Notamacropus eugenii: one gene and its partners. The protein of the gene in region 4 purifies or fractionates together with the protein of the main gene of each other region. This does not show direct contact. Links are inferred from orthologs where the notes say so. Each region holds a gene or a part of one and is shown on either strand. Other genes may lie near its edges. The genes, in order: COPG1, COPG2, COPB1 and COPA.

The links.
Region 1: the proteins of COPA (region 4) and COPG1 purify together in Homo sapiens (affinity purification with mass spectrometry; 6 studies listed by BioGRID and IntAct, counting the BioPlex papers as one, with this or other methods). This does not show direct contact. The link is inferred for Notamacropus eugenii from reciprocal best matches to the Homo sapiens genes COPA and COPG1.
Region 2: the proteins of COPA (region 4) and COPG2 fractionate together in Homo sapiens (co-fractionation; 4 studies listed by BioGRID and IntAct, with this or other methods). This does not show direct contact. The link is inferred for Notamacropus eugenii from reciprocal best matches to the Homo sapiens genes COPA and COPG2.
Region 3: the proteins of COPA (region 4) and COPB1 fractionate together in Homo sapiens (co-fractionation; 6 studies listed by BioGRID and IntAct, with this or other methods). This does not show direct contact. The link is inferred for Notamacropus eugenii from reciprocal best matches to the Homo sapiens genes COPA and COPB1.

The regions. Positions count from the first base shown.
Region 1 is NC_092874.1:425,497,996-425,505,718, forward strand, and holds the start of COPG1 (coatomer subunit gamma-1), read left to right. Parts: upstream 1-4,696; 5' UTR 4,697-5,141; coding exon 5,142-5,178; intron 5,179-7,723. UniProt on the Homo sapiens protein: The coatomer is a cytosolic protein complex that binds to dilysine motifs and reversibly associates with Golgi non-clathrin-coated vesicles, which further mediate biosynthetic protein transport from the ER, via the Golgi up to the trans Golgi network.
Region 2 is NC_092874.1:119,741,609-119,749,517, forward strand, and holds the start of COPG2 (coatomer subunit gamma-2), read left to right. Parts: upstream 1-4,753; 5' UTR 4,754-4,758; coding exon 4,759-4,885; intron 4,886-5,216; exon of another isoform or gene 5,217-5,231; coding exon of another isoform or gene 5,232-5,325; intron 5,326-5,421; exon of another isoform or gene 5,422-5,544; coding exon of another isoform or gene 5,545-5,644; exon of another isoform or gene 5,645-6,118; coding exon of another isoform or gene 6,119-6,203; intron 6,204-6,780; coding exon 6,781-6,833; intron 6,834-7,422; coding exon 7,423-7,503; intron 7,504-7,909. UniProt on the Homo sapiens protein: The coatomer is a cytosolic protein complex that binds to dilysine motifs and reversibly associates with Golgi non-clathrin-coated vesicles, which further mediate biosynthetic protein transport from the ER, via the Golgi up to the trans Golgi network.
Region 3 is NC_092877.1:37,925,210-37,932,232, reverse strand, and holds the start of COPB1 (coatomer subunit beta), read left to right. Parts: upstream 1-3,864; 5' UTR 3,865-4,040; intron 4,041-5,453; 5' UTR 5,454-5,512; coding exon 5,513-5,603; intron 5,604-7,023. UniProt on the Homo sapiens protein: The coatomer is a cytosolic protein complex that binds to dilysine motifs and reversibly associates with Golgi non-clathrin-coated vesicles, which further mediate biosynthetic protein transport from the ER, via the Golgi up to the trans Golgi network.
Region 4 is NC_092873.1:385,357,298-385,365,137, reverse strand, and holds the start of COPA (coatomer subunit alpha), read left to right. Parts: upstream 1-4,677; 5' UTR 4,678-4,766; coding exon 4,767-4,806; intron 4,807-7,840. Other genes in the region: NCSTN (nicastrin), read right to left, coding at 3,256-3,360, 4,446-4,530. UniProt on the Homo sapiens protein: The coatomer is a cytosolic protein complex that binds to dilysine motifs and reversibly associates with Golgi non-clathrin-coated vesicles, which further mediate biosynthetic protein transport from the ER, via the Golgi up to the trans Golgi network.

The DNA of each region.
Region 1 (7,723 bases), on a different chromosome or scaffold from region 4:
TGTAATCTCTTGTGCTTTATTTTATGCATTTAAAAACATGATTCTGAGAAGGGGTCCATAGGTTTCACCCCAGGCTTAAACCATCATCCAGCTCAGGTGTAGGTGCAGAAAGGTCAACATATCACAGAAGGGCTAAAACCATCCAAGCAGAGCCCAAGTAAACTCATGATGGCGGAGACGTAGGTATCACCACTGATGCTCACATGTGTGGTTCGTGCTGTGAATATATGCTAATGCATATGTGTCATTTTTTGTATTCTGGTTTTCTTTTTTACTTTTTATGTTTTCTGATTTATGTACTAATGACATGCATTGTACTAATATATTACTGTTGCTAAGGATGCTTACTAACCATATAATTTTACTGTTTTACATTCACATCCTTATATACTAGGTATGTATATTCATGGGTCTTTGTAAGGTATTCTTGTAATATATCCCGCATATAATTTAGGCCTCTAGTCATAAAGTAGTTCTATCAAGTGATAATTTGCATTATGCAGTGCTTACTGCGGGTAATGTTAACATAGCTATGATCTGTAAACAGTACAGTGGAATGCTTTAAGTTGCTGTTCAAGTGTATCAGTAAAACTTTGTGGGGACTATAAAATCTTTTGCTGAGAGGTAGGAATGTAACAAATGTGTAGTTAGGAAGAGCCTTTCTTTGAACTTTTTGGTTTCGGCCCAGAACTACACATTCCACAAATGAACCGGAGAGCTCAGAAGTGTCTAGTACTAAACAGCGAGGAGATGTGGTTAAATGTCAGGGGAAATGGAGTTCTTTAAAAGACTGACTGGACCACGCAGCTGTGGGATTGCCCAGGACAGGGGAACTGGACTCATACCAAGAAACAGTCATACCAGACAACCATGATATCCACGGGGTTGGATTCAACTTGCCTGGTAGAGGGAGTCCCTATCTTCTTCCCTTGGGCTTTTGGGATGGGAGACTGTAGCCACCTGGGTTTCTGGGAAGTCAAATGACATTTCGATAAGTATTTTGAGAGAAGTAAGGTCAACATACCTGCACTGGGATTTTGTAAGAGAGCTCAAGAGTTCTCCTGGTCAGGGATTGGTTGAATTGGAAAGCCTGACGGTAACCTCCCCCACCTGTCCCTTTTTTTCTATTTATCACTGACATTGACAGGAGGAATAAATAATATTGTTCCTTTGCAAGTGGCTTCTATTAATGTTGATTCTCTGGGGTTTTTTGGGACAGCTAGGTGGCACAATGGATAGCTGGGAGTGAGGAAGACTCTTCTTCCTGAGTTCAAATCTGACTTCAAACACTTACTAGATGTGTGACCCTGGGCAAGTCACTTAACCCTGTTTGCCTCCATTTCCTCATGTAAAAAATGAGGTGGAGAAGGAAATGGCAAACCATTTCAACTTCTTTGCCAAAAAATATCCCCAAGAGTCAAACACAACCCAACAACAAATACTGTGTTTATTATCTTTCTATGTCTTGTAGTAAACATACCTAAACTATTATTTGAATCTGTTTTTCTTTTAGTTCACGTGGATTAGGGACTGAGGCAATCAAGATATGAACCATACACCTAAGATATATTTTAGAGATGTTCATGGAATCAAAGTCAAAATTGTAACATTTAGGAAATATTTTATGTGAATGATTCTTTCACATTTTTAAAAGCCTAGAGAGAGCCTAGAAGAATCTGGATCAAGGTTAGGGGGACAGAAGCTTGCCATATATAGCAACCTCAACAACTGTGGTCAGCTATTGAAAACTGTGCTTCCAACATCTCCCTTGAGGAGAGACAGGATAGAAGAGGGAAAGAAACAGGCTCTTATTAAATGGCTACAACGTGCTGGGCAATGTCCTAAGAATTTTACAAATATCTCATCTGCTCCTCACAACAACCAAGGGAAGTAGGTACTATTATTATCTGTATTTTACACTGAGGAAAATGAGACAGAAATTGAATGACTTGTCCAGGGCCACAGAACGAGTAAATTTCTGAGGCTGAATTTGAACTCAAGTCTTACTGAGTCCAGGTCCAGTGGTTTAAAAACTTTGCCACCTAAATGGACCTCTAATATTACTGTTATAGGGAGTTCCTTCTTGCTAAGAAACTTTTCCTTTCAGCATTTATTAGCATTTTTCTGTAACCATTTTAGAGAGTTGCCTTGAGGGATGGGGATAAAACTTCTCACTCTATGAGGAACCTTTCAGGCCTCTTGCTCTATGTGGAATGTCTATCATCTAATTTCCTTATTTTACTAATAAGTAGAGGCTAAAGAAGGTGACTTGTTTAAGGTCACAGAGTAAGTGGGTGAGGTGGGAATAGAACCCAGTCCTCCTGTGCTGTGGTGAGGGATGTTTCCATTCTAATTATGCTGCCCCCACCTAGGAGGGAGCACATTTGTTTGGCATCAAAGAATAAAGAAAAAGCATTGGTCTTTGATTCAGAAGACTGGGATTTGAATGCTGTGATCTTGGACAGGTCACCTAACAAATGAGATAATATTTGTAAAATGCTTAGCATATAGTAGGTTATATATATATATACATATATATGTACATATATGTATATATATATATATATATATAGCTTAATTCTTCTTGGCCTCAATTTACTATTTATAAAAAACAAGGGGGTTATATCTCTCCAGCTCCTGCTTGCTTTCCATTTATGATCTTCCTGTTGTGATTCGTGGCTTTCTGGTCCCAGGTGTGACAGATCCCTGGATGGAAGGGCTAATACGTGGCATAGGAGAATTGCTGGTCTGTGGCTTCCTCTGATTCTGTCCTAAGAGCTCCCTCAGGAGAGAGCAGGGCTCTAGTGACAGACAATGCATCTGCTGTCTATGCTGGCTCATCATAAGAATGTTGGCCATGGAAGGAGAACTATTTTTGGCCATACCAGGTCATGAATATCATCTCGCTTAGGAAGGGAGTACCCACCAGCACTGAAGGAAACATTAATTTTAAAGTAGAAGTTCAATTGAACATTTTATCTTTCACTATTTTTACATCATTCTCTGTTTCATAATGCATCTAAGTCATGTCTCCCCAAAGAGACTGCGGATTCCTTGAGGGGAAAGATAGATACTTTGATTTAATGATGGAACCTAAGATTGGTATACAGTTAACACTCAATATTATAACAATCCATATTTGTATAGCATAGTGCAGTGTACAAAGCATTTTTCTCACTACCCTATGGAGGAGATAGGGAAAAAAATATTAAGTGAATTAAAGAGGAATTTCCACATCCATAGGTCTACTTATGGTGTCTATGCAGGTAACTCATCAAAGCTAAATATTCAGCACCTCCCTCTCTTCTGAATTTCAGTCTTGCATCACCAATAGCCTCTTGGACTTCTGGAACTAGAAGTCTTGGAGATAGCTAAACTCAACATTCAAAAACAAAGCCCATAGTATTCTTTTCCTCTACCCTCAACCCCCTGATTTTTGAAAATTTCCTATTCCTGTCCCAGGTACCACTATCCTTCCTGTCTCCCAAGTTCCTAATCTCAGCACTATCATTAACTCTTTAATTTCCCTCACCCCAAACATCCAGTCGGTTGCCAGATCTTGATGTCTCTTCTTTCACGACTTTTCTCTTATCCAACTTTCTCTCTGCTCATTGAAAAATCCCCCCTATTTCAGGTCCCATCACCTCTCATTTCAGATTATTGCACAGGCCTCCTAACTGGTCTCCCTGACTTCTCTTTCCCCATTCCAGATCACACATCTGCCTATATTACACCTACTCAAAAACTCTAGTGGCTTCCTATGGTCTCTAGGATTAAATGATCCAATAAAAACTCCTCCGTGTGCCTTTCAAAGCCCTTCACAAGCTGGCCCCGACCTCTATTTCTGGCTGCATTATACATTACTGTTCCTCCTAAGCATCTTGGTCCAGTCAAACTGGCTTTATTCTAGATCCTTACACACCAAGCCCTTAATCTCCCATCTCCACGCCTTTGCCTGGAAGGTACTCCTTCCCCACTTCCTCCTCCAGAATGTCCCTTTTCCTTCTGGATGGTTAGCTTTTATCTTGTCTTTCTCCTGTACATCTGCAGACATGTATATAATGTCTCCTCGAACAGAAGCTGAGCTCCTCGGGAGGAGGGACTGTTTGATTTTGTATGGGTTTCACCAGCTCCCACAACAGTGACCAGCATGGGGCAGGTGCTGGATAAATGCTTGCGGAAGGGAACGAGCTGTTCACACGATTAACTTCACACTTGCCAGGCTCGTGGTCACCGAAGACAAAGGTCCCGGAACGTGGAGTCCACGGAGAAGCTCGGGTTCAAAGCCAGACTTTGCTCCTTCTAGTTGGGTGACCTCGGCAAAGCCCCAACTTCTGTTTCGTCGTCTTTAAAAAAAATGGGGGGGAGCGGTGGGCTAAGACTCTTCCTCTTCCTTCAAGCTCCAAAGGACAAGACCCCACGACAGAGGAGATGGATGTCGATGGAGGGAAGCGTCCTACCTGGGCAGGTGGGCCCGCGGCTGCTGAGGAGCCACGCTCCGCCCCGGGCAGGACGGGGTTAATGGAGTAAGCCCTGAACTTGGTCAGTTACAGCTTCCAGCTGGGAGGCCTTCAGGCCATAGTGTGCGCAGGCGCGAGCAGAAGGCGCAGCACTGAGCCCGCCCCACACGCGGCAGGATGTGGTTAAGCGAGAGCGCCTTCTAGTGGTCTATCGAAGCTTCTTCAGCTTTCCGGTCAGTGTGCGCAGGCGCGAGCAGAAGGAGCAGGGTTGAGCCCGCCCCATACAGGGCAGGATGTGGTTAAGCGAGAGCGCCTTCTAGTGGTCTATCGAAGCTTCTTCAGCTTTCCGGTCAGAATGTGCGCAGGCGCTGGCAGAGCGAGCTGTCTCGGGCTCGCAGGAGCTCAGCCTTACAGAACTGAGCCGGACACGACAGGGTTAAGCCGAGAAACGTGTCTGCCGTCCAGGTCAGAAGGCTCGAAGTAGACGGGTCTAGGCGTGCGCAGGCGCTCTGAGAGCGAGGGGGGCGGGGTACGGGAGGATCGCGCAGGCGCGCTACGCAGGGAGACGTGTCCCCCGGACTGGGTGGCCGGAAGTAGCCCGTACGGACTTGGATCTGGCCGGGTCTTGCAGGCGTCTGCCCGGTCCGTCAGTGCTGTCTGTCAGTTCAGCCGGCCCCCAGGATGCTGAAGAAGTTCGACAAGAAGGACGAAGAGTCCGGTGAGGGCCGGGGGGGCGGCTCCGGGACCCCGGGCCTGATGCAAGGCGGAGGGGGACCCCCTCTCCCCATGCCAGCTAACGGGCCGGGCGGGGCGGCCGGGCGGGGCCGCGGGGCCGGCGGGTGGGGGGCGTCCTCACTGCCCGAGGTCAGGGGCCCAAGCTGTTTGGGGAGCACGTCCCTCCTTGTTTAAAGGGAAGGCCTGCCGGGTGCCAGGCCCGAGTGAAAAAGCTGGGCAGACCCTGTCCGCAAAGGGCTTATCTTCTGCTGTGCAGCGTGTCACATACTTACAGGACGTGGGGGGCCGTTGACAGTGGGGGGACAACATGTCAGATAATTACAGGACATGGGGGAACGCTAACAACGCTGGGGGGGAGCAGCATGTCATAATTACAGGACGTGGGGGGCCATTGACAGTGGGGGGACATTAACAACACTGGGGGGGAGCAGCATGTCGTAATTACAGGACGTGGGGGGCCATTGACAGTGGGGGGACATTAACAACACTGGGGGGGAGCAGCATGTCGTAATTACAGGACGTGGGGGCCATTGAAATGGGGGGACATTAACAACACTGGGGGAGCAACATACAGATGTTGGGACTTGGGGGGGACATTAGCAACACTGTACATTCTTAAGGATTTATATTATCTTAGAACCAGCAGCATGTGTACATACAAGTAAATGCAAAATTCATACAAAGTAAATAAATAATCCAGGAGGTGAGGTAAGGGGATACAGTAGCACCTGCAGGGATAGGTAGATAGTGTTATTTGAACCAAGTGTTCAAGAAAGCTGGTTATTCTAAGAGTCAGAAGTGAGGAGGGAACACTTTGCAGATACAGGACAGCTTTTGCCATGACATCAAGATGGACGATGGATTATGTGTGTGCATATTAGTTTGGCTGGAATGAAAGGTGCATGAGGCATGTGATATGTAATAAGTCAGGAAAGGTAAGTTTGGAGTAAGTGTGAAGAGCTTGCAATACCAGCTGAATTTTGTTTTATCCTAAAGGTTATAGGGATTGGAGCTTTTTAAGCAGTGGATTGATCTGGTCAGGCTTTGCTTTAGTAGTGTCACTTTGGTAGCTGTGTGAGGGATGGATTGGGGAAGGGAAGGATTTGAGAGAGGAAGACCATCTAATAATCCAGGCAGAAGGTAATGAGTTCCTGAAGTAATGGTAGATGTGTGAGTGGAGAGGAGATGAATGCAAGAAATGTGGTGGAGGTAAAATTGACATTTGACCATGTTGGATGTGGCAGAGGTGAAAGAGACCTAGTTGAAGTCGCCTCAAAATTTTGAACCTGGGCAAGTAGAATAGTGGCATCCTTGATAAAAGGATAATGTGGGAGGGAGAGTACTTAAGGTACTTCAGCCAGCGTGAGGTACAGAGACTTTTACAGGATAATAGGATTGAGAGGTGGCAGAAATCTTAGAGACTATCTAGCCTAAGCCCCTTGTTTGATAAGTGGGGAAACTTGAAGCCCAGAAAAGATGAGTTTACCCCCAGGCAGCACAGTAGGTACCAGAGTCAGGACTTGAACCTAAATTAATCTCTTCCATTTATTTGTTCATTTATCCATTCATTACATCATTCTGTCTTTCATATTAGTAATTTAACAAAATGTCTACTATGTGCAAAGAGATATCAGTCAGTCACTAGCATTTTTTATGCGCCACCTGTGTGCTAGGCACGAAGATAAATGGAATAGATGCCTTCACAGAACTTATAATCTAATAGTAACCAAAAAGTATTCAGATATAATGCATGTTAAATGATTATAACTGTGTAAGGGGAATGTCAAAGTACTTTGAGATCAGATGAGACCAATCACTTTCAGCTGTCTAGCTTGAGGCAAGAAGGAGATGAAGGGGGAATTCAGGAAAGGCTTCCTGGAGGAGGTGGACTTTAAACTGGGCTTTGCAGAATAGGTAGGATGTCAGATGATGGAAGTAGGTGGAAGAAGACTTCCAAATTTAGAAAGTAATATAAATAAAAGTTCAAGAGTAGAAAAATTCAGGTCAGTTTAGGAAACAATGAACCAGTCTAATTTCACTGGAATGTGGAGTACTTGAGGGAAGGTAGAGTGAAATAAAACTGGAAAAGCAGGGAGGTCCCAGATGGTGGGAGCCTTAAATGCCAACCTGAGAAATTCAGAGACAGTGATATTGTCTAAGAAGTTAAAGTATTCATAAGATTACAGGTTTAGAGCTAAAAAAGACCGAAGGGTCATCTAGTCCAGCCCCTTTTTATTGATGAGGGAATTGGAGACCAGAAACATGCTTTTACTTGCTTGATAATTACTCAGATTGTAAGTACGTAGTAAGAATCAGAACTTGAACTCAGGTCTTCTCCACATCCAGTCCTCTCTCTATTGCATTATGCCATCTTTGTTCCTGTCCTATACTACACAGGGTGCTTACTACTCCTTGGAAGTTAGTTATCAGGAAAGATATAAACCCAGAAGACCAGAAGCCCACCAGGACCTGGGAAAGTTCTGTCTAGTATAAACTTTGGCACCATCCTAGTTAGAGAGAGACAGAGG
Region 2 (7,909 bases), on a different chromosome or scaffold from region 4:
TAATATAACCTTAGGCCACTTTAATAGAGGAACAGTGTCCAGAGCTAAGGAAATAAAAGTACTATTGCAGTTGCTCTAAACAAATCATCTCAGGATTATTGTGATCATTTCTGGGAAGCACATTTTAGGATGAGCCTTGATAAGGTGTAAAATATCCAGAAGAAAGTAACATAGATTAAGAAAGGTCTTTAGGTCATACTACACGAGTACTGGTTGAAGGAAGTAGAGATGTTTAGTCTGGGAAAAAAAAAAACTTGCTGTGGGCTGCCATGACTCTCAAGTATTCAAAGGGCTGTCACATAGAAGAGAGGTTAGATTTTTTTTTCACTTGGCCTCAGAGGGAACAAGTAGGAGCGTTGGATGGAAGTTGTAGAGGCAGAATAGGCTTGATTTAAGAAAAAATTTCTGGCAATTAAAGCTAATCATAAGTAGAATGGGCTACCTCTGGAAGTAGGTGATTGACCTCCCTTACTAGAAGTCTTCAAGCAAAGGCTGGATAACTACTGGTTGGGTATGATCTAAGGGGAAGCTCTTGTTCAAATATGGGTTAGATTTAGTGGATTCTGATGCCCCTTCCAACTCTAAGGTTCTGAGTCTGAGGTTTTGCCACTCCTTCTGGGGAACAGTGCTACTTTGGATGGATGCTGAAATCACACTATTTCAGGTGTTACTTTCTGTCAACTTCTTTGGGTGGAACTGGAACCCAATCCAGGTTCCAGTTCCACAACCTTAAAAGCCCAATGTGCCAATCTTGCCTTTTCACATACTATTGATGTAATCCTAATAAAGCTACCCCCAGCCCCAATATTCTAACTTCCTTTTGGGCCCTACTGAACAGCAGGCCCACTGCCCCTCCCTAGCCACTGCCCCCCACTCACACTCAGTACTCCTATCTTCTTCATATATGCATCACTGCTCACTAGAACAACAGAAGAGTCCATGAACTCCCTCTTCTCACAGAACAGCAGGCGTGTCCATGTGAAAGGACACCAGCCACTGCCCCCAGACCCACTCCTCATATTTCCCACAGAAACAGCAGGTGTATCCATGCACTCAACCACAACCGCATCCATCAAGTCTCAGACAGGACCACAGTAGTCAGCCAATCAGAAAGCAGCAGCACCAGGATGACCAAGCTGGATGTGGACCCCAAAACAATAGAAGGGACTTTCCCTAAGTGGGCACCTATGCAGAAATAGCAAAAGCTGTCCTTTAGATGAACTTATGACATAGAGAGGTTTATTATAATATCATTATCATACATACATAACCCCTTATGGGTTTTTTTCTGTAGCATTGTGAGTAATCGCATGTGCAGTTCCACTGAGGTTGGGAGCCCTCCCTTATTATCTAATCCCTTAATAAACTCCTCCTGCCTTTTTAATATTCATAATTTTTGTTACATAACTGCATCTTTACCCTATAAAAATCCATCTTGCTTTCCTAAAGTTGATAGTTCTTCTTGGAACTTAGCCCACTTAATGAGAGGCACCAATCTCAATAAATGCCTATACTTGGATGAGAGGTGTTTTGACTGAATTCTTTGAGATGGTTCCTCCACAACACATCCGTAAACCACAACACTATCATTTTCCCTTCTTCAGCCACAAGAACAACAGAAAATCACAACTCATGCTGGTCTCCCGCTGATGAAGAAGAAATTAAAGACTGAACCCAGGACTCCCTTTCCTGTAGCAATATTGGAGGATGCTATACCTAAGCGGGAACAGTGGTACAGGTGAAGCCCCAGCACTTTCCCTTACTAAGCCTCCCTTGTTCATGTGTTTGAGCACTGTGTTGGATTTGGAGCCTGGTACAGAGGCCAACTAGAGAGAAAGGTGACTCTGGAACTGCTATACCATATAGCACAGTAGTGGAGAGTGCTGGGCCTGGAGTCAGAAAGACCTGGGTTCAGATCCAGCTTCAGACACTTACTAGCTTTGTGACCCTAGACAAGTCACTTCACCTGTTTGCCTCAGTTTCCTCAACTGAAAAATAGGGATAATAATAGTACCTACCTTCTAGGATTGTTATGGGGATCTAAGGAGATTTATAAAGCACTTAGCACTTACCCTAGAACATAATTGCTTAATAAATACTTGTTACTTTTGTTCAACCTCCTTAACTACTTCCCTTCCTTTTCTCCTTCTTCCCTTCTTTTCTTCCGCCCTCTATTCCCCTTTCCTTCCCACCTTCCTTTATGTGCTCATAAGTCCTATAGGGCCAACTCCTAGTAACACCCTCTAAGATTCCATAAACCTCTTTTCTTTCAAACGCCATTAATCATAGGCTCCTTTCCTCTCTAAAACCCAGACAATGGAATTAACTTTTAACTGACAGATTCCCTTCTATCATGACCCTTGACTCTGGCTCCACTAAATGAATTTTCCCTGTTAAGGTTTTCCACCAATGCTGATTTCAAGGGTGAAGCCAAGTTTTCAAAGTTCCATGCCCTAAAGAAGCAGCAGGAAAAGTATCCTGAACTTTCCTTTGTTCCAGATTTTAGGTCAGGTAAGAAGAAAGATGTCGAAGTTCTCCTCCCTCTCTATTAAAGCATTGTTTTGGGGGCTGGATGCAAGTAAACACTAGAACTTGTTTAGAGAACAGGTAAAAAGAGGTTTGATGAATGTCCAGAGTAAACTTGCCTGTCACTTGTTCATACACAATGGGGATCAAAGCAGCAGAAGATCAGGTTCAAATCCCAACTTTATGACTACTACCTGTATGACCTTGGACCAGTTAACTCCATTTGTAAAATAAAGGAGTTGGACAAGATGGCCTCTGAAAGTCCTTTTAGCAGTGTGAAGTTGCTATGGCGTTGGACTTGGAGTTAGAAAGTCTTGGATTCAAATCCCAGCTCAGATCTTTACTGGCTGTGTGACCACCTGCAAGTGACTTAAACCTTTTTGTGCCTCAGTTTCAAGAACTGTAAAATGAGAAAGTTGGACTTCTTGAATTGTAAAGTCCTTTCCAAGCTCTAAACCTATGATCCTATAATCCTTTCACCTCTAAATCTCCTTTAATCTCCAGATTCCAAAGGCAAACTAAACAAACCTTTGAGATTTCCCTCTTTGCTCAATGAAGAACAATGTTCACACAAATCAGTGGCTGTCATAGAATTGAGGATTCATCTAATTCTATTTGGCCTCAGAGAGATGAACTTGGGTTGAAGTTATAGAAAGCAGATTTATGAGTAATGGAAGGAAAAATTTCTTTACAATTAAAACTGCTCAAAAGTGGAATGGGAGTTTTCCCCTCACTAGAAGCCTTCAAACAAAGGCTAGAGAAGGACTCCTTGGGATTCTGTTTCAGGTAGGGGTAAAACTAGACAGTCATTGGAGTAAATCTTTTCTGATTCTTAAGACTCTGTGGTTCTGAGTGGAGACGTATAGATAGGCAGAGGGGGAAAGAAGGGCAGTCCAAGTGGGTTCAAAGCTTGGCTGTCCCCCATGCCTGAAACACTCCTTACTTCTGCCTCCTCCTAGCTGACTTCCCTCAAGTTTCAGCTAATGTCCCACCTCCTGCAAGAAGCCTCTTCCAGTCCTTCATCTTAGTGCCTTCCCTCGGAGACTGCCAAATAATTTATCTTGTCTCTATCTCACATGTACTTAGTTATTTGCAAGCTGTCTCCCACATCAGACAAGAAGCTCTTTGAGAACAGGGGCTGTTTTCTGCTTTTCTTCGTATCCCTAGCGATGGTTGGGGATACACAGGTACAGAATGCCTGTCATATAGTGGGCTCTTAATCAGTGTTTTTTGACTAAGGGCAGAGGAGTAGAACGTACAGAGAAAGGGGGAGGACAATATGATCTCAAGAATATCTCACTGATGTTGACTGACAAATCATGGAAAAGAAGGGGGTAGAAATGAGCCTCATGACTTGGGAATACAGAGTGCCTCCTTCCTCCTAATGCAGAGTCAGTAAGCATTAAGTGCCTTCCATGTGCTAAGCGCTGGGGATATAAAGGGAGGCAAAAGAACAGCCCCTGTTCTCAAGAAGTTTACAACCTAACGGGTGGAGGACAGCGCGCACACAAATACAGACACAGCAAGCTATGTACAGGATAAATCGGACAGAATGAGCAGAGAGAGGCACTTAGAATCAGGAGGGCTGGGAAGGACTTCTGGCGGGAGGTGGGCTGGCAGCTGGAGGGCAGCATCCCGGAGGTGCAGGGACCTTCTCCTCGGTCGGACGGTCCAAGCGCCCCACTCCCGGAGGCACCACCTTCTCACGGCTTTCTCTGCTTGCCTGCAGCCGCAAGGGAAGCGAGGAGCAGACGGAAGATCTCCGTGGTAACCTGGGAGCCCCTGACCCTCGCGACCCTCCTGGAGGAGAAGCCCACGCTGACCGTGCCCTTGCCAGGAGAGAGCCCCTTCCGCTACGGGAGGGCCACGCAGTGGTTCATAAACACGACCGCGGTTCCTGACTGAGTCACGCGAGCTCCCGAGGCGCGGCACCCACTGCCACGGTCGGGCCCGCACTCGGGGCCTCCGCGTGACTAGGAGCGCCAGCCCAAAGGACCTCGTGTGTCTGTCACTCCGCGGCTCTGCAATGGGAGCTGTCGGTGCAGAATCGACCCACTTGTGCTCTCTATACGCGTGTTCGAGTGCATCTGTGCGCACGGAGGGAAGGGAGTGTTAGCACGGAGGGGAAGGCGTGACTACCGGCAGGGCGGGGCGGGGCTGACACCGCGCGGCAGGGGAAAGGGGCGGGGTTTCTGCTGGAGTGACGGGCGAACTGCCCAGCCAGCTGGAGGGATGGGGGCCGGGCTTCCGGTGGAGCCTGTTCCTCTCGGCGGTGTCGGCTCCGACGGTTCCGGTTGGCCTAGGGATCAGTTGTCGCGGGAGATGATTAAAAAATTCGACAAGAAGGACGAAGAGTCTGGTACACGCAGGGACCTGGGGAACGCCTCCGACCCCCACTTTCCAGCGCTTCCTCCTCGTAGTGCGGGGGCGGAGGGGCGGGGGCCGCGCGTCTTCCTCCCCCTGAGAGCTGGACGGAGGGAAGGGGGGAGGAGCGCGCGGGGCTGAGAGCGGCTCGGAGCTGGAGTCCCTCCTCCTCCACCAGGGCGAGTCCGTCGCGTGGCCCCTCCCCCAACTCGAGACCCTGCCTTCCCCCTTCTCCCCCTCCGGGTCCGGCCGCGTGCGCCGCGCCTGGCCTGCCCCACACCACCCGCCCCGCCCCTCGGCCCCGGCGCACGGGAGCCCTCCCCTGGCCGGCCCTCGGGCGCATGCTCCCGCTGCGCTGCCCCTCGCAGCCCTGCCCCTCCGGCCCCGGGGGTTGGTGGCGGAGAGGAGGCGGGGCCATGGCTGGAGGCGGTCGAAGTGAGCAGGGGAGGGGGCGAAGGGGCGGCGTGGGAGGGGGTGGGGGGCGAGGGTAAGAAGCGTGAGAACCCCCGGATCTCTGAAACCTAGGGCCGTTGCTCCTTGGTTCACATTCTCGGGGGGAAGCGAGAGTTCGTACACGCCCGGGGCCCCGACTTCCCTCGTGGGCCGTCCAGCCCAGCTCCGGGCTTTGGGGCCGGGGAAGCTGAGGGTGGGAAAATGGAAGGTTTAGGAAGGAGGGACGGGATCGCGGCTGGATTTGAAGGGCCCTCTCGTGGAAGACGGATTAGAACCTCCCCGCTTGCCCTCAGACCCAAAGGTGTCTCTTGTCAGGAGTAACTTGGCGTCGGTGGAGAGGAGTTGCCCACGATCAGGGCTGCCCCAAGTGGGCCAGGGCCGGCCTAGGACACGGTGGATCTCCCTCTTGGGGGACGTGGAGGGCGCTGGAGACCCCGGCCCCCAGCTGAAAGGGGGCAGACTCCAACACCTGGTGGCAGAACGGCGCCTTTGACCTAGACTCCCGGGGGGAACTCAGGCCTGCATCTTGGCTGGAGCGGAGGCGGGGCCTCCTGACTCTGGGAAGTTTCCCCTCAGTTTTCCTTGTTGCAAAGTTACTGAAATGAGTACTTAGTTAAAGAGCTCAAAGTGCTACAACAGTTTGATGCATGCTTGTCACAAAGGCCCATGGAGTTGGAAGGGACCTTGAAGCCCGTGCAGTCTGTCATGAGTCTCATTGAGAAGACCCCCTGCCAGCTAGACCAACTCCTTCATTTTTAAGATGAGAAAGTGAGATATGAATAGCGACAAGAAGCTCACGGATCTCACTCTCTTCTTTTGGATGCCTTCAATGGATAGGAAGTGCTTTCAGTCTACACCTAGTAATTCCTACTTATTTGATAGTTCCCAGTTTTGTCCCAGAAAATCTCAGAAGAATTTGTTCCAGGAAACTTGTTTTATAGCTTGGGCTTTCAGCCCCTACCACCTTACCCTAGGGCTATAGGGGCATACATTTAAAAAATGGAAGGGATATTAGAGGCTATCAAATTCAACCTCCTCTTCCTCCACGCACACTTTTTACAGAAATAGAAACTGAGTTACAGAGAGGTCACACAAGTAAGAATCCCAGCTAGGATCTGAACTTTTGTGTTCCTATTTCAAAGCCCGGCACTCCACCATTTACACCATAATATAATTCTTATTTAAGTCAGATTTTTGGTAAGTGTTCCAAAGTCGGGAGGTATGTCAGCAGAGCTAGACATAGAACCAAGGTCACTTCATTTCATCTACCAGCAACTTAGTAATGCCTGCCATTGTGGTATCCAGATGCTCAGGCTCTTATAAAAGTTTTCCTGAATTTGTTTCGATTTTTAAAATTTTGTTTCCAGTGTTGCTTAATTGTTGGTAAATGAATTTGCCTGTGGCTAGTTCTCAATACTATTTTGTTTTCTTTTTTAGGGAGTGGCTCTAACCCTTTTCAGCATCTGGAGAAGAGTGCTGTTTTGCAGGAGGTATGACTTAGAAGTATATTGTCTTTTATGTTTGTTTTCCCCAGAGTGGGATCAGAACATCTCTAGGAGACATTGGAGACATTCAGAGTTTATGTTGTAGTTATCATGACTGAAAAATGTTTGCCTAGTATTGAATTAAAGCATATAATGAATGAGATAAAATAATGCAGCCTAAAGGAAAAAAAGAACAATGTTTTGTCATTGGATGTTAGAAGAACATAAATATGCTGTGATGCCATGAAAATTTTGGTATGAAAGATGTCAAACAGGTACTTTGTATAAAGCTGCTGACAGAAGTTATAAATGTTAAATTTCATACCAGCTTTTTGAGTTACCTTAATATTGTGATTCTTATTTTGAAAAATGAAATTCTGAAATTAAACCGAAGGGAAAGAGTGGAATAGTATAATATAGAGACATATTTCCTAGTTCATTTTTCTAATATAATAAACTAAATGCTTCATTTAACTAATATTACTTAGACTTTATGATAAAAGAGTTTGACAACATCATTAATTTGTTGAAGACAATTTATTGAGATTTGTGATTGAGAAGGAAAAGGTACTATGTATTTGCTTTGCTCCCCCAGGCTCGTATCTTCAATGAGACTCCTATCAATCCAAGACGATGTCTACATATTCTGACCAAGATCCTTTATTTACTGAACCAGGTAAATGAAACTTAGGGAAGCAGTTCTTTCTGGGGCTCAGTTTTCCTAATCCATAGAATGAAAGGGTTTGACTAGATGAACTTTAAAGATCTCTTTGACTGCTTAAGTCCTATGGTTTTTTATTCTTTCAAAATTTGTCGTTTTTAAAAGTAAGCTTTTTTAAAATCCAGAAAGTTTATTTTAATTGAATAACAAGATTGAAAAGTCCTTGAGGGCAGAGACCATATTATGTACCTTTTTGGTATTCTCCCATATCAGTTTATCAAGTATATATTAAGCACTACACTGTACTAGGCCAAATACTTTGTGCTGGGGACACGGACAAAAATCAGTCTTTGACCTCAGTGATCTTGAATGCGCTGCTAACCATATAGGACAGGCACTCAAATAAATTTTAGTTTGAAAT
Region 3 (7,023 bases), on a different chromosome or scaffold from region 4:
AACTAAAAGGGAAAAAGAATATATCATCACCTTCATTCTCAGCCCTCAAATAAGGACGACAGGGCAGTGAAGCTGGAAATCTCTTGACCAGCTGACAGGTGTAGTTTGGAATAGAGGGTCTGGGGTGGGAGGAAACACCCCAATTATCTGGGACCCATTCCTTTAAAAATTGGCATTTTTTCTAAAGGAAATAGCCATCATTCTAGTGAACATCATGGAAAAGTAGAATATGGCACATGAGCTGTGAAGGAAATTAGGTTGTCTGAGAGGCAGAGGTAAGGTTGGGAACATTTAACAATCCTGGGGAACAGATTCTGCCATTCCTCAGTCCATGGATATTTGGGTAGTTAAGAGTTTTTCAATATTATAAATAACAGTACTACAAATTTTTTGTACTCTTGGGTCTTTTCCCTTGTCATTAACTTCCTTAGAGTATGTTCCCACCAGTGAGATCACTAGGTGAAAGGATATAATCTCTAGTTTCTGTTCTTAAACTTGTGACCCACCCCTTATCACCACTGTGCGAAGTTAAACTCATTTTAATTTAGACATAATAAAACACTAGTAAGAAAGTCAGTCTTGTAAAAAAAAAAAACCATATGGCCCAAAGACCAGTACCAAAGACGGGGATTATTTGCTAGTTTGCCTATAATAATCACTGACGTCTAAGTAGTTTTATAGTTTAAAAAGGATTTTGCTTACAACAACCTTAGGAGGTGGGCGGTACAGGTTTTGAGAGTCCTATTTTTGAAATGAAGAAACAGGTTTTAGAGAAGTGAAGTCAAGCCAGCGAGTGTCAGGTGAGTAATAGCACCACTCCCATCTCCCCTCAGACTAATGGCAAACATCCCAAGACCCTGAACTTAGGAGCCTTGGGAATAGCTAGCTATGCTTCCAGCCCAGTGCCCTCAGCTATTTTCCTGGGAAACAGCTCCTGTGGAGAACGGGTCAACCATCCCCACCTTCCGCCAGCCTAGCTGAAGCAGCAAGGGCCCTTGAGGGAGAGATAGGCAGCAAACCACCACCCTGATCACCATCTCCCCTCAGGCCTCAAGGAAACAGCCCAGAATTCTGAGACCAAGAGCCTTGGGATCAACAATTCCCTCAGCCATTGGCCCCTATGAGATGCAGCCTGGTCATTGTTCCTCCTATGGTCACAGCTCCTGCCTTACCGTGTGTTGCTAGCTAGCTGCGTGTTGCTAAGTGAATTGACCTTTCTGGATCTTAGTTTTCCTCATCTATAAAATCTATAAAATGGGGATAATAATATCACCTCCCTTACAGATTATGAAGATGAAGTGACATAAAGCACTTTGGAAACCTATGTAATCTATGCAGCACTGCGTTCATTATTATTATTATTATTTATATGTAACATATTGACTAGCATGGTGGGAAGATTTGAAACTGACATTTAAGAATTGGTTGAAAGTACTGGGCTAATTTAGCCTGAAGAAAAGATTTAATAGGATTTATCATAGCTGCTCATCAATACTGTCTGAAGTTATTTTGCCATGTGTTATAGGGAATGGATTTAGGGGTTTTTTGACCCCAGAGGGCAGAATCAAAAACAATTGTTGGAAGCTATCGAAGCAAGTATTTAAATAAATACTTCCTAACAAAGCTATGCCGAAGGGAAAGGGACTACCTTGAGACATGATCTTCCTTGAAGGTCTTCAAGCAGAGGTTGAATGACCATTTCTCAGAGATCTTAGGTCTTAGAGTTGGAAGGAACCTTGGAAATATACCTTGGAAATGACTCCAACTGCCTTGTGAAAGGAGGGCAACAAGGTGGCACAGTGGAAGGTGCACCAGGCCTCAAGTCAGAAAGACCTGAGTTCAAATCCAGCCTCAGACACTTACTGTGTGACCTTGGGCAAGTCACATAACCCTGTTTGCCTGAGATTCCTCATCTGTAAAAACAGCTGGAGAAAGAAATGACAAACCACTCTAGCATCTCTGCCAAGAAAACCCCAAATGGGGTCAGGGAGAGTGAGACATGACTGAATAACAACAATGATAGGGGAAAAAGTATGAAAACTTCCAGAATTGGAACAAATTTTGAGTGTTTTCTTTAAAATCTCAAATGAGTAGACTTGGAGGATACGATAGAATAGGTAATAAGTACCTGTTTGATAATAAGATGACTAGAAAGGGCTGATACCTTGTGGGAAACAATAAGTTTTGTTTCCACAAGCTTTGGGTGATCAGGATTGTGACCTAGCACGGTTAGGTCAGAGGTCAGAAACTTGTGCACAGGCTTGACGAGCTGTTTGTGGCAATGGACAGTGTCAAGGGACATCCAAAATTTGGAACAGTATAAGAAGTTTCCATTATTCTGAATGTATTGTAGTCTTCCTATAACCCTACATCCAGCCTCACTACTCCAGAGCTATCTGAATCCAGGAACCAGATATTCATCAAGATGACTGGAGATGACCCAGGATGAGGCAACTGGGGTTAAGTGACTTGCCCAAGGTCATACAGCTAGTGAGTGTCAAGTGTCTGAGGTGAGATTTGAACTCAGGTACTCCTGACTCCTGCTGTATCCATTGCACCACCTAGCTGCCCCTAGGAGAGAAAAGATAAAACTCTTGGGAAAGGCCTTATGTAGTAGAGTGCCAAGGAAGAAAGGGATGCTAGGCACCTTCCAAGAGACTGCCTGGGAGGGCACAAAAGCTTCTCAAATTATTCTGATAGTTTCACATCTGCCAAGGGAATAAAACCTTTGCCTGAAAGCATTAATCCAGTGTGATCAATCACTGGCAATTCTCACACAGGGTCAGCAAGTCTGATGGCAACAGAAATATACTCCATGCTGCTAATTCTGTCCTGGGGAGGACGGTGTTGGGTGCTGAGAAGCTGTAGTAATAGGAGAAGGGAGGGCAGCACGTATCAGGCCAGGTGAGCCCTCAATACCACCAGCAGTCCTGGAGAGACTCATGGAGCCATGACTAGGGAATGCTTACCAGAGATAGAGAAAAGCAAGATCTGACCAAGTGGTGAGGCTGTCTCTAGCATATACTAAGAATTTTATGAAAATTCTTTGAGTTTTCTACTAAAGCAGGAAAATTCCAGCTATCATGAACCTTCTTGCAACAGCTACTGACAGGGTACCACTGACACAGTAAGGCGCTATATAAATGTTAGTAATTACTATTATCCCTATTATTTCACTCAACCACTGTGCAGAGCCTCCAGGACAGGGACCATCTTTGCCTGTTACTGTATCCCCAGTGCTTAGCTTAATGCCTGGCACATAGTAGGTGCTTAGTAAATGTTTAGGAAGTGACTGATTGATTGCTAAGGGCAGAGGGTACAGATATGAAAAACGAAACATTCTCTGCCTTTGAAAGAGCTTACTGTTACACATCCAGTAGCAGAGAAGAATCTGACAAGATATAAACAGGAAATATAAGGCTTGTAGTTCTGTTGTGTGCCACTCTCCCTGACCCCCTTTGGAGTTTTCTTGGCAGAGACACTGGAGTGCTTTGCCATCTCCTTCTCCAACTGAAGAGGACCCTGAGGCAAGCAGGGTTACATGACTTGCCCAGGGTCACACAGCTAGCTGTACTGACTCCAGGGGCAGCGGTCTGCGCCCTGTGCCGCCCAACGACACGATACATTGTGTCAATTATATGCTGTATGTTGCATTACGTTACATTATCGTTACTCTTGCTATTCTCAGCTCCGCTCCAGGTCTCTCCGGGGCCCGGAGCAGGGCTACGCCGCCAGGATCCCAGGGACAGAGGCGCGCTGAGCCTAGGGATGCGTAGCCAGCCTCGGCACCGCGCAGCCGCCCAGCAGGGGGCGGGGATGGGGCGGGGGCCGAGGACGTAGGAGGCGGGCCTAGAATGTGGGGGCGGGGCCTAGGACGTGGGAGGCGAAGCTGAGCGGCGGGAGGAGGCGTGTCCTCTCCGGGCCGCCGTAGACACTAGGTGGCTTCGGTCTTCATCCCTTCCACGTCAGCCCGGGACTCTGAGGAGCCGGAGCCGCCGCTGCCGTTGCTGCCGCCGTCACCGCCCCGGGCCGGGTAGCGGGTAGGAGTCGAGGCTAGGCCCGAGTGGGGGCCGCGCCGCTCCGCTGGGAAGGGGCGGGAGGGCGGCCCTCGGCGGGGTCGCGTCCCTGGGCCTGCTCGGCCCTGTCCTCGGAGCCCTCCCCCCAGGCCGGGCAGGGGGCGGGAGTGGGGGAGGGGGGACGCCTGTCGGGCCTCCGACCCCCGACCCTGGGGGTGCTGACACAGCCCGGGAAGCCGGGGCTTGACCTGTAGCCCTTCCTGCCTGGGCCGGAGCCGCCCCACCCAGCCCCCCCTCCCCCGTTCCACCTTGGCTTGCCCGTTCCCCACGGCCATCTCCTGACCCCGGGCTTTTCCCCCGCCCGTCCCCGCCGCCCGGAATGCTCTCCCTTCCCTTCTGTGCCCCCGGCTCCCCTCGAGGGGAGGCTTTGCAGGGCAGCTCTTCCTGGCGCTCCCTGGCATTCCCCTGGATGGTGTTTGCAGGCAGCGTGCCCTAGACTGGCAGCTCCTGGAGGAGCTTTTATATCCCCAGCGCCCGGCATACCACAGGCGCCTAATAAATGCGCGTTGATCGACTGTCCCTGTCATCCCTATAATGATGTCCCATCATCACAAAGATATCCTTTGGCCCTTTAGCTCTTAGAAATCTCCCCAAAACCACCCTGAAGTGGGTAAAGAAAAAGGGGGGATAGGCAGAAGAAAAATTGCCCCCATTTTACCTTGGAAAGGAAATGTGAGGGACCTGGGGTCTCCCAGCTTGTAAGGAAGGAAATGCAGGTGTCTCCCAAACCCCCTCAGTGGCCTGGATCCTGATGGACTCTGCAGGATGGGGGGGCAGGGTCTGGCCTTGTCCCCAGCTGCTGGGCACCTCTCTGCAGCCTAATCTGAGGGCTGCCAGTCTCGAAGGCTAGACTGGGCGGAAACTTGTTTTGTACAAGGGATGCCTGGCGCACGTTTAGGTGACCCTGTATTCATTGCAATGAAATAACTGCCTTGGAATCTTAGACTACAATTATTTTTAAAAAATGGAGACTGCCTCCCCACCATGCCCAGGCTGGGAGGGCATTGGCTGCACACAGGCTAGTCCTGGCCTGGATCAGCCCAGAGGCTTTGATTTTGCTACTTTTCCAACTTGGGTCACTTTGTCCTCTCTTTAGGCAGCCAGGTGGCTCTTCCCCCTCCCTCCCGAAGGCTCCCATATTGGTACTGATGCCCAATTGACTTTAGTGAGCTAAACATTTCCCAACTCAAGCAGTACAGCATCTTCAGCTTCCCCAGTCATAAGATTCACAGACATGCGATGCTATGCCAGGCCAATCTTAAGATTGTTTTAAAGTTATTAAGCAGACCTGAGTGTATTTTCGTTGCCCATGTTAGAATTATGTTTGTTGACTTATCGAAACTTTTAATAAGTAATGATATCTTGTACTTATTCTAGAATTTCTGATACCTGTCATCAAAAATACTTGCACTGTGGAGTACCCATAACCAAACACCATGACTGCTGCAGAAAATGTATGCTATACGTTAATTAACGTACCAATGGATTCAGAACCACCATCAGAAATTATCTTAAAAAATGACCTTGGTAAGTGAAGGATGGGAAACCTTGACATGAACATATTTGTTTATGGAGGTAATTTATAATTAGAAACATAGATTTTTGTTTGATTTCAATACACGAGATCCATGGTTTTATCTTTGTGTGGCCCGCCATTATCAGCATAGCTCACAATCCTACTTAAGGTTTATTTCGTGTACCATCTTCATGAGTTGTGGGACAAAGTTTGTTACACTTTGGCTAATTTTCTGGGAATGTGTTTTTCTGAACCTTGCTAAGCTGGTTTTCCAGTGATAAAAAGCAGTTTTTCAGAACTTTTCTCCTTGGTAAGCCAGAGCTTGAACCTTGTTGACACAGCCTTTGTGAATCTATGGTCATCATCACAACATGAAGAGGCATAAAAGAAAGGTTAATGTAGGGGATTTTAATCCAGAGTTTTTATATGAAGAAAACCGTGTATAAATAGGTTAGTAAAAGTGCTTCTGAATATTCTGTGATTATCTGTCACTAAAAATGAAAACCTCTTGTGCTAAGACTTTGCATGTATTATTCTTTGTTTAAATTTCCAGCACCTACATGGTACATTGCATATATCAGCACTCACCAAATATTTTTTAAATTGGATTGAAATTTGAAAGTAGGACGTGGTCTGAATAATGCAAAGAGAACATAAGAGATGGGCTGTGCGATGAGACATTTGCAAGGTGCTTTGCACAGTGCCTGGCACAGAGTAGGAGCTATGTGAATGCTTGTTCCCTTTCTCCTCCCAAAAAACACAACCTTGATTTTTAAAGGGCTTCTCTTCTTATTAAGAAGTGCTGGGTAATTGATGGTGTGTGTACAAGGTTGAAACTGTCTTGGTCTCTTTGTGAGACCCCTGTAGGGTCTTCTTATATTTCTTTAGGTAAACCAAAGGAGATGGACTTCTCACCTAAGATCCAAAGATTTAGGGCTAGAAGGAAAGGTAGCAGTAACAATAATTATAACAGTAAGTGGCATTACGCAGCAATTGACAGAGAGAGAGAGAGTGTGTGTGTGTGTGTGTGTGTGTGTGTGTGTATGTGAGTGTGTGTGTGTGTGTGAGGGGGTGTCCGTGGGTGTAGGTGTGTGTGTGGGTGTGAGGGGGTATCCATGGGTGTGTGAGTGTGTATGTGTGAGAGTGTGTGAGGGGGTGTCCATGTGTGAGTGTGTGTGTGTGTGTGTGATTTGATCCCCAGTGAAACATTGTTAGATGGGCAGCTGATAGGTATTATTATCCCTTCCTATAAATAAATAAACTAAGACTTAGGTTATCTATAGTAATACAAATACTAAATGTCAAAGAAAGAATTTGAACACAAACTTTTTTAACACAAACTCCAAAGTTCTGTATTCTTTCTCCTCTCTCATTCTGCCTTAATTCTCTGCAGAAACTGCAGGAAACTGAGGCACAGAGGAGTGTTAAATG
Region 4 (7,840 bases):
TGAAAGAACAGCTGGACATGGAGGAAAGGTATTGCATGGGAAATAATGGCCACAGGTGACAAACACTTGGAAAAAGCTCCAAGTTTGAAATAACTTTTACAAAGATTTGAAGTACACTGTAGACAAGAGAAGACAAACTTGGACCCCATTTGGCCTGCAAAACCAAGGAGTGCTGCAAAATAGATTTAAATGTAATTGGGACATTTTTAACAAAATAAATGAAAAAACAATACAACATAGATAATGTTAATTTGTGGTTTCCTAAGTCAGTACGTAAACTATGATCTATTTCTAGTTGAGTATGACCTGTAGATCTCTCTAATTGTACTATATGTAACCTACGGGGAGAAAAAGGGATAGTGGCTATGAAAGATTAGTAACTCCTGCTTTAATGAGGCTTGGAGAAAAGAAAAATGATAGGAAACCTAGATTCTAGTCTGGGGAGCATCCCTGGTTCACTCTATGACTTTAAACAAGTTGCTTAATCTCTCTGGGCAAAAATGGCAATCGGCTGAGCTGCTCCCTAACCCTCTCCCCAGGAAGAGACAGACTGTATGAAAAAGGAACCTGCACAAGCCTTTGAGCTCCCTAGGGAAAGGAGTCCAATAAACATGGGATATTGTTATCAGTAAACCAATACTGTGCCTCACTATTTCCCCAGAGGATTATCATGTTAGCAATCCCAATTAAAGAAGGTGTAGCCTTGTTCAGAGGTGGATGAACCTGAAGAGGGAAACTTAGACCTAGCCAGATTGAAAAGGAAACAGGTTTCTAATGAGGAAATAGCCTGAGTCTTGCTCCTCCTCTTTCCAATGCTCAGCTTTGCTTATAAGATCATACATTCTACAAGGCTGTGGTAAACATAGGTAGCATGATGGATGAGTCACTGCCAAAAAGGGTTTAAAAGACAAGCACTGTCAGAACCTGGTTCCAGGAGAATGGGGTTCAAGCCCCTATACTTAAGGTTGGAACTGAAACTGCAGTTAGAGACCATAACAGATCCACTATCCCTCATTCCATGTTGGGTATATTTCCAGCAATGATCCTATAACTTAAGGGTCTGTCTAGAACTAGCTAACCCAGCCAGGAAGTAGCTACTGCAGTCATGCAACAAAACATCAACTACTTGACTAAAGACAGGACAGGCTGATAATGGGGAGATAACACACTAGTAATCCAGGGCTCTCAGAACCATTCCACCCATTTGAACAGTTCTCTTCATCATGGTGACATGGTATCCCTAACTATCCCAGATGCTTTATTTCACAGCAAATAGCTGCTGAAACCAAAATACCTATTCATTACAATCTACAAAGACTAAGCTTATCTTTATGAGTTTAAAGAAATACTCTCACTGAACCTCAAATCCTCCACTGAAAGAAAAGAAAGAAGGAATATTTCATCATTTTTTATGGAAAGAAAAGAACCCACATCTCAGAGAAGTGAAATAATTTGTTCAAGGTCACACAGTATGGTAGAAAGAGTTTCATACTAGACTCTCTGTACTAGTCTAACTTCCTATTTCAAAAGGAAATTTGATGTCCAGAAATAGGTGCTGCTGATGGAATAAAAATCAAATCATGGACCACCAACCACAGGGAGTCAATCACCCCATTCTCTCCTCTGTGATATTCTTTTATGTGAAGCTTCTTAGCACCACCTCCTGCTTCATCTCTCCTTCTGATAAGAAGAGTTTCATGATTTCATTGAATGTCATTCCCATGGATGACAACTCATTAGCATTCTCAGAGTTTCTTCATTATCAAACAATTCACTGCTTCTCAGAAGTCCACCTCAGACTCTAAGAATATCACTGTACAATAGAGAAATAGTCAAAAGATCACAGATCCTGACTTGAAAGGAAATTCAGAGACCATCTATTTACAGCATTTATCAAGTGCTAACTATGTGCCAGGTACTTTGTAAGCTCTTGAAATATAAATACAAGCAAGACCATTACTCCAATGAAGAAGCTTCCATTTTTGTCCCAAGTTATTTTACAGTTGAGGAAACTGAGGCTCAAGCAGGTTAAATGACTTGTTCAAAATCAAAAACAGAGCAAGCATCAGAGGTGGGATTTGAATCCAAGTCTTCTATTTCTGAGCCACTGCTCTTTCCACTGGACCACACTTACACACAGCAGACACGAACTGTTTTCAAAAGAAGAAATACAAGCTACTTATCACCACTTGGAAATGCAGAGGGTCATTAATAATCAGAAGAAAAGAGAAATTAGGATAATCCTCAAGTATATAACCACCAAGTGGCAAAGATGTTAAAGGAGGAGAAAACCTATCCCTGGAATAGTTACAGGAAAACAAGAAAGATAATTAACTGATAATGGAGTTATGGCTTGGTTCAACCATTCTAGAAAAGTTTGGAATCACATAAGAACTTATTAAATTGTTCATTCCCTTTGACTCAAGAGATTTAATTTGACCTACATCTCAAGGAGCTTATCAAAAGCAAAAAAAGACATATATATATATATATTTTTTTAATTTACAAGATTATTTGTAATAACAGAGAGTGAGAAACAAAATACATGCCCAACGACCATAGAACTAGGTGAATAAATTATACTCGAATTTAATGTTACTGAGCCGTAAAGAACGACAAATGTAAAGAATTTGGAGAAACGTGGGAAGACATATGAAGTAAATCAGAAGTAAAAGAAAGGTAGATATCAATATACAGATACAGAAGGGCAAAAAAGATAGATATCAATACATAGATATGGATTATCTATATAGATAATCCATATAGATATAGATTATCTCTATCTAATGACAATGTCATTAAGATCAGTATAGAGAGGTAACAAAGGACTGGTCAAAAACAATGATCATCAGCACTAGACAAAGTTAAGACAATTCTGTTTTTAAAAAAATCAATAACCTGTAGGGGGATGTACTTTGTAAAGGGGTTTGTTTAGCTATTTGTTGGGAAGGATTTGCTGTGTCAAAACAAAATGTATGGAATCAGAAGGACCTAGGTTCAAATCCAGCCTCAGATTCTAGCTGTGTGACCCTCGGCAAGTCACTTAACCTCAATTGCCTCCAAAAAAACCAACCAATCAAAAAATGTATTAGTAAATTTATTTTTTGAAAAGATCAATGTAACAGTCAGATGTAATCCCACTGATTTCCCTTCTTCCCTATTCTGACTGTGTTCTGCTACCCCCAATTAACTTGCAGTCTACCTAATACAGGCTCTGGAATTCCCGGAGCACTAAAGCACTAATTGCCAACTTACACTGGCAGCCAATCTGGTGAGTGGCATTGAGCAGGCGGACACAGGGAGCCGTTCTGTTCAAGGGGATGTAGATCTTCCTCTCCACTGAATTTGTTTGGCACAGACCTGAAGAGAAAGCAACAGGTGTAAGAAAGAAGTTTTAAAAATAAAAGGGGCATAGTTCCCTTACTCATCTTCTCAGCAAGGAGGTGGCATGAGACTGGCATATGTCAGCAGGAAAAATTCTGGGTTGGGAAACTTGGGTTCTAGTTTTAGCCGTGCCTTTAACCTATCTATCTCCTTACGTTAAGCAAATCACTCAGCCTCTCTGGGCTCAGTTTCGTGGTCTGTTAAATGAACATAATGCATATTATCTTCACTCAATATGTCCATTAGGACACAGGAAGGAGCACGCTCCTTCCACCCCTCCCCCCAAACACTAGAGAAATCCAAGTTTCTTACTAACCACGGTAGCGCAATCACACTAGTTCCCAGATAAGAGAAAATGTGGTCAAAGGAAGCCCTATGTGTGGATTACTGATTAATTGTAAAGAGTGCGAGCTCCAGAGCAGTGCCTGGATTCAAAGTCTTTCTCTGTATTCCCAAGAAATGAGGTGGAAAGGGAGGAAACCCGGTCTACACACGCCACTGTCAGACGCAGCTCTTACAAGTTCACCCACTACAGTCACGGGAGGGAGATCCTGAAGGACCAAGGCTACCACCTTGGGGCTGGGGAGGGCACGGAGGTAGCTGGAGAGAGGGAGCCCCCCCCCCCCCACACGAGAGGCACAGGAAAAGCAAACCCCAGCTGCAGCCCCGCCCCCCGCCCCCCAAAGCTTCAGGGCCAGGGAAACTTCTCCTCGTAGCTCGGAAGAGCCAAAGCGGCCAAGAGTCCGTCTCCGTCTGTTTGGCAGAGAGGAGAAACTGAGGTACAGGGATGGGAACGAGCCTGATCCCAGACTCCCACCGCCCGGGGGCCTCCAAGAAGCCCAGCGGGAAGGCGGGGGCCTCGGACAGCAGCTCCTCCGGGCTGGGGGCAGAACGGGGGCTTTAAATCCTCGAGAAGCGCGGAACTTGTGTCGGGGGAACGCCGAGTAGGGGGGTTTGCGAATCGGCGGGACGGAGGACCCAAGGGCGCCTGGGCGGTTTCGGAGTAAAGGAAGTTCTCGCAAAGAGGCCCTCGCGGCTCCGGGGGGGTGGGGAGGGCTCACCTGCCAGCAAAGGAACGAAGCAAAAGAGGAGGCAGGTTCGCCGGCCCCCAGAGGCGGCTCCTCCGCCGCCCCCAGCAGTGGCCATCTTGCCTCTCCGGGCCGCTTCCGCCTCCTGCCCCCTCCAGCCTGACAGAGGCCTCTCTAGGCCGCTCCCCTGCCAGTCTCTGTGGCCTTCAGGCGGAAGTGCGTTAGGCGTAGGGCGCTTCCGGCTGCGGCTGCGGCTGCGGGGCGGTGCTGACGTGGAGGGGACCCGGGCCAGTCGGGCTGCGCTTCGGGCCGCGGCCGGAACCGAAGCCGGGGCCTGGACTAGGGCGGACAAAGATGCTGACCAAATTCGAGACCAAGAGTGCGCGAGTCAAAGGTGGGGAGGAAGGGGAAGCCGAGGGACCCGGGGTGTGGCGCCTGAGGGAGTGCCTTCGCCCTGGGGGGGTGGGGGGAGGGGAGGAAAAGCGATCCGAAATCTGGGGCCTGAGGGGATCGGGTCGGAGCCTGCCTGGAAGGAGAGGGACTTTGGTGATCCCTGGGTTTTCCCCCCATTCGCTCTTTCAGATCTGACCCCTTTTATTACGTTTCCCCGTCTTTCTCCCCTCCCCCATTCCCGGGTACCTTCGCTATCCAGAACGCCTTCCCCGACACAAATGTATGGGGTGAGGGGGGAAATTCGTATTTCTTACTTATTTAACTGTGATCACGTCCCAGTGTACTGGAAGGTAAGCTCCTCAAGTGCACAGACTGCCGTATAATGTTTTTTCTATACCCCCATGCCCAGCACTATCCCATAATAGATAGGCCCTTCTTGCAACCTCAGTAGGTTGGTTCATTGATAGACCTATCTATGTACCTTCCCCAGACCCCTCACTCCCCACCATCCCCAATCACCTTGGGTACACACACAGTCCCATTCCCCTCCCTAGTCTTTCCTGGGCTGTGAATGAGGGTTGTCATTGTTTTATCCTTTTGATTTCTCTGAAAAGGTGAAAGGATGGACAGGATAATGTTGCTAAGGGTTTACCAGCTCCTGGTCTTTCTCTAGCTGTCAAGGCTCTATTTAATGTATCAAAATTAAGTATTATGGGTATAGTTCTTGGGTTCTGAATTCTGATCCTGTTCCCACCTACCTGTTTCTGTTAGGTAACTTTTGCGAGAAAAGGACTAATTACTTCTACTTTAGAAGCTGCAATATTCCCATCCCATTGATTTTCATCAATTTCTTCTGTCGCCAGACTATCTTGTTCCTCTACCTTGTAGAGGCAGTTGATGGTGCAATAGATAGAGCCCTGGGACTGAAATCAGAAAAGACCTGAGTTCAAATTTGACCTCAGACACTTGCTAGCTGTGTTACTCTGGGCAAGTCATTCAACCTCTGATTGCCTCAGTTTTCTCATCTGCATAATAGCGACAACAGTAACACCTCAAAGGGTTGTGGTAAGGATCAAATGAGATAATATTTGTAAAAAGCACTTAGCACAGTGCCTGGCATGTAGTTGGCACTATATAAATGCTTATTCCTTTCCCTCACCTCTCCTCACCTCCTTTATGTCTGTACTCTAAAACCTGAAGGTTTTTGACTGACCAGGTGAGGAGATGAGAAGAGAAGGGTATGCTTCCCAGGACTCTGTCAGGGATTTCTCAATAAAATCTGAAGAGGAAGGAAAAGGTAGGGGAGTAAACTCTATAAGGATACTAAAAGTCAAATCCCATCTTTTAGGTTTAGTAAGCAGTGGAATTATAAAGGGTCATTCCGAGTTTATCAGGTTCTTATGAAGATCTTGATTATCATAACGTACATTTAAGGTTTTTCTATGACCTTAAGTGACAAGGAGTTAGTAGTTTGAACAAATAACTGTTACAAGAACTTTTGTAGCATTAGTACAGAAGCCCTTGGTTACAATTATGACTTCTAGAGAAGGAATTGTAGGTAGAAATCCCATGTCCAAAGTGTTCAACTGTTACATATGACCATAAGCAAGCCATCTGTTCCCCAAAAGCCTTAGTTTCTGAATAAATGAGAATTAAAATATAGCTAAATTTTGACTTCTCTGAAGAAAGGTGGAATAAAGAGAGATAATAGCTAATCGCTTATCCTCTCCCATCTATTACAATACATTCTGTACTCTAGACTTGCTGTTCTTGGTACATAGTGTTGTATCTCTCGTCTCTGTATCTTTTGTTGGCTCTCCCCTTGACTAGAATTTTTCATTCTCCTCACTTCCATTAATGGAACCCATGGCTCCCTTCAAGGTTCAGCTCAGATAACCATTCGTTCAATAAATCTTTCCTGATTCCCCTATTCTAAGTATCTGCTCCCTCCCCTCCATCACTTTGTATTTATTTTGTGTATATGCTGTAGTTACTTCTCTGTCAATATATTGCTTCCCCTATTAAAATGAAAGTTTCTTGAGGACAAGGATTGTCTTATTTTATATTTATATCCCCAGTACTTAGGATAGTGCAAGCACTTGATAAATGCTTATTGGTGTATTGATTACGGGATGTATCACACAAGAAACATTAGTCTGTCAGTAACTTTCAAACCTTTTCATAATGCAACTACATTATAAAAGATGTAACTTATATTTCCTTAAAAATTCCTCACAAGTATGTCAAATGAGTTCAAATTGACATCACTATCCAAAAAAGTATTAACAGTCTGGAATATTGGACTGAAATCTATCATAACTAACTTGTATAAGAAAAATATAAAGTCCATTACTTCAGTTCAAAAAATCACCATTACAAGTTAAAGATGGAGAAAAAGCATGGCTAGTCAACAGTTCTCCTAATTAAGATCTTGAGTGTTTAATGAATTGCAAACTCAGTGTGAGTTAATGGTGTGATATTGTGGCTTAAAAACTATTGGTATTTTAGGCAACGTTTAGAGATATAATATACAGAACAAAGGTGATAATCCTGCTGTGCCATGACATGCTTGGATCACATCTAGAGGTATTCTTTTTTTGGACACTACATTTTAAGAAGGACATTTATAAGCTGTACATCATCCAGAGGAGATGAAGGACTTCACGATGACCAGTTGCAAGAACTGAGGACTTCTGAAGAAGAGAAGATTTAGGGAGGGCTCAATAACTACTTCAAATATCTTAATAGCTGTGTCTTTGATCTCACACGACAAAACTAGAATCAACAGGTAGATATTTCAGAGAGGCAAACTGACTTGACATAAGGAAACATTTCAAAACAATTAGAGGTAACAAAAAGTGAAATGAGTTGCCTTAGAAATGGATTTCCCATCCCTAGAGGTCTTCAAGGCTGAATGATCACTTGGGGCTATTATAGAAGTGATTCTAGGTGAAGTAGGTGTTGGATTAGATGACCTCTGAGGTACATTCCAAATTTGAAATTCTAGGATTCTGAGATGCATTGATTTCTTTCTA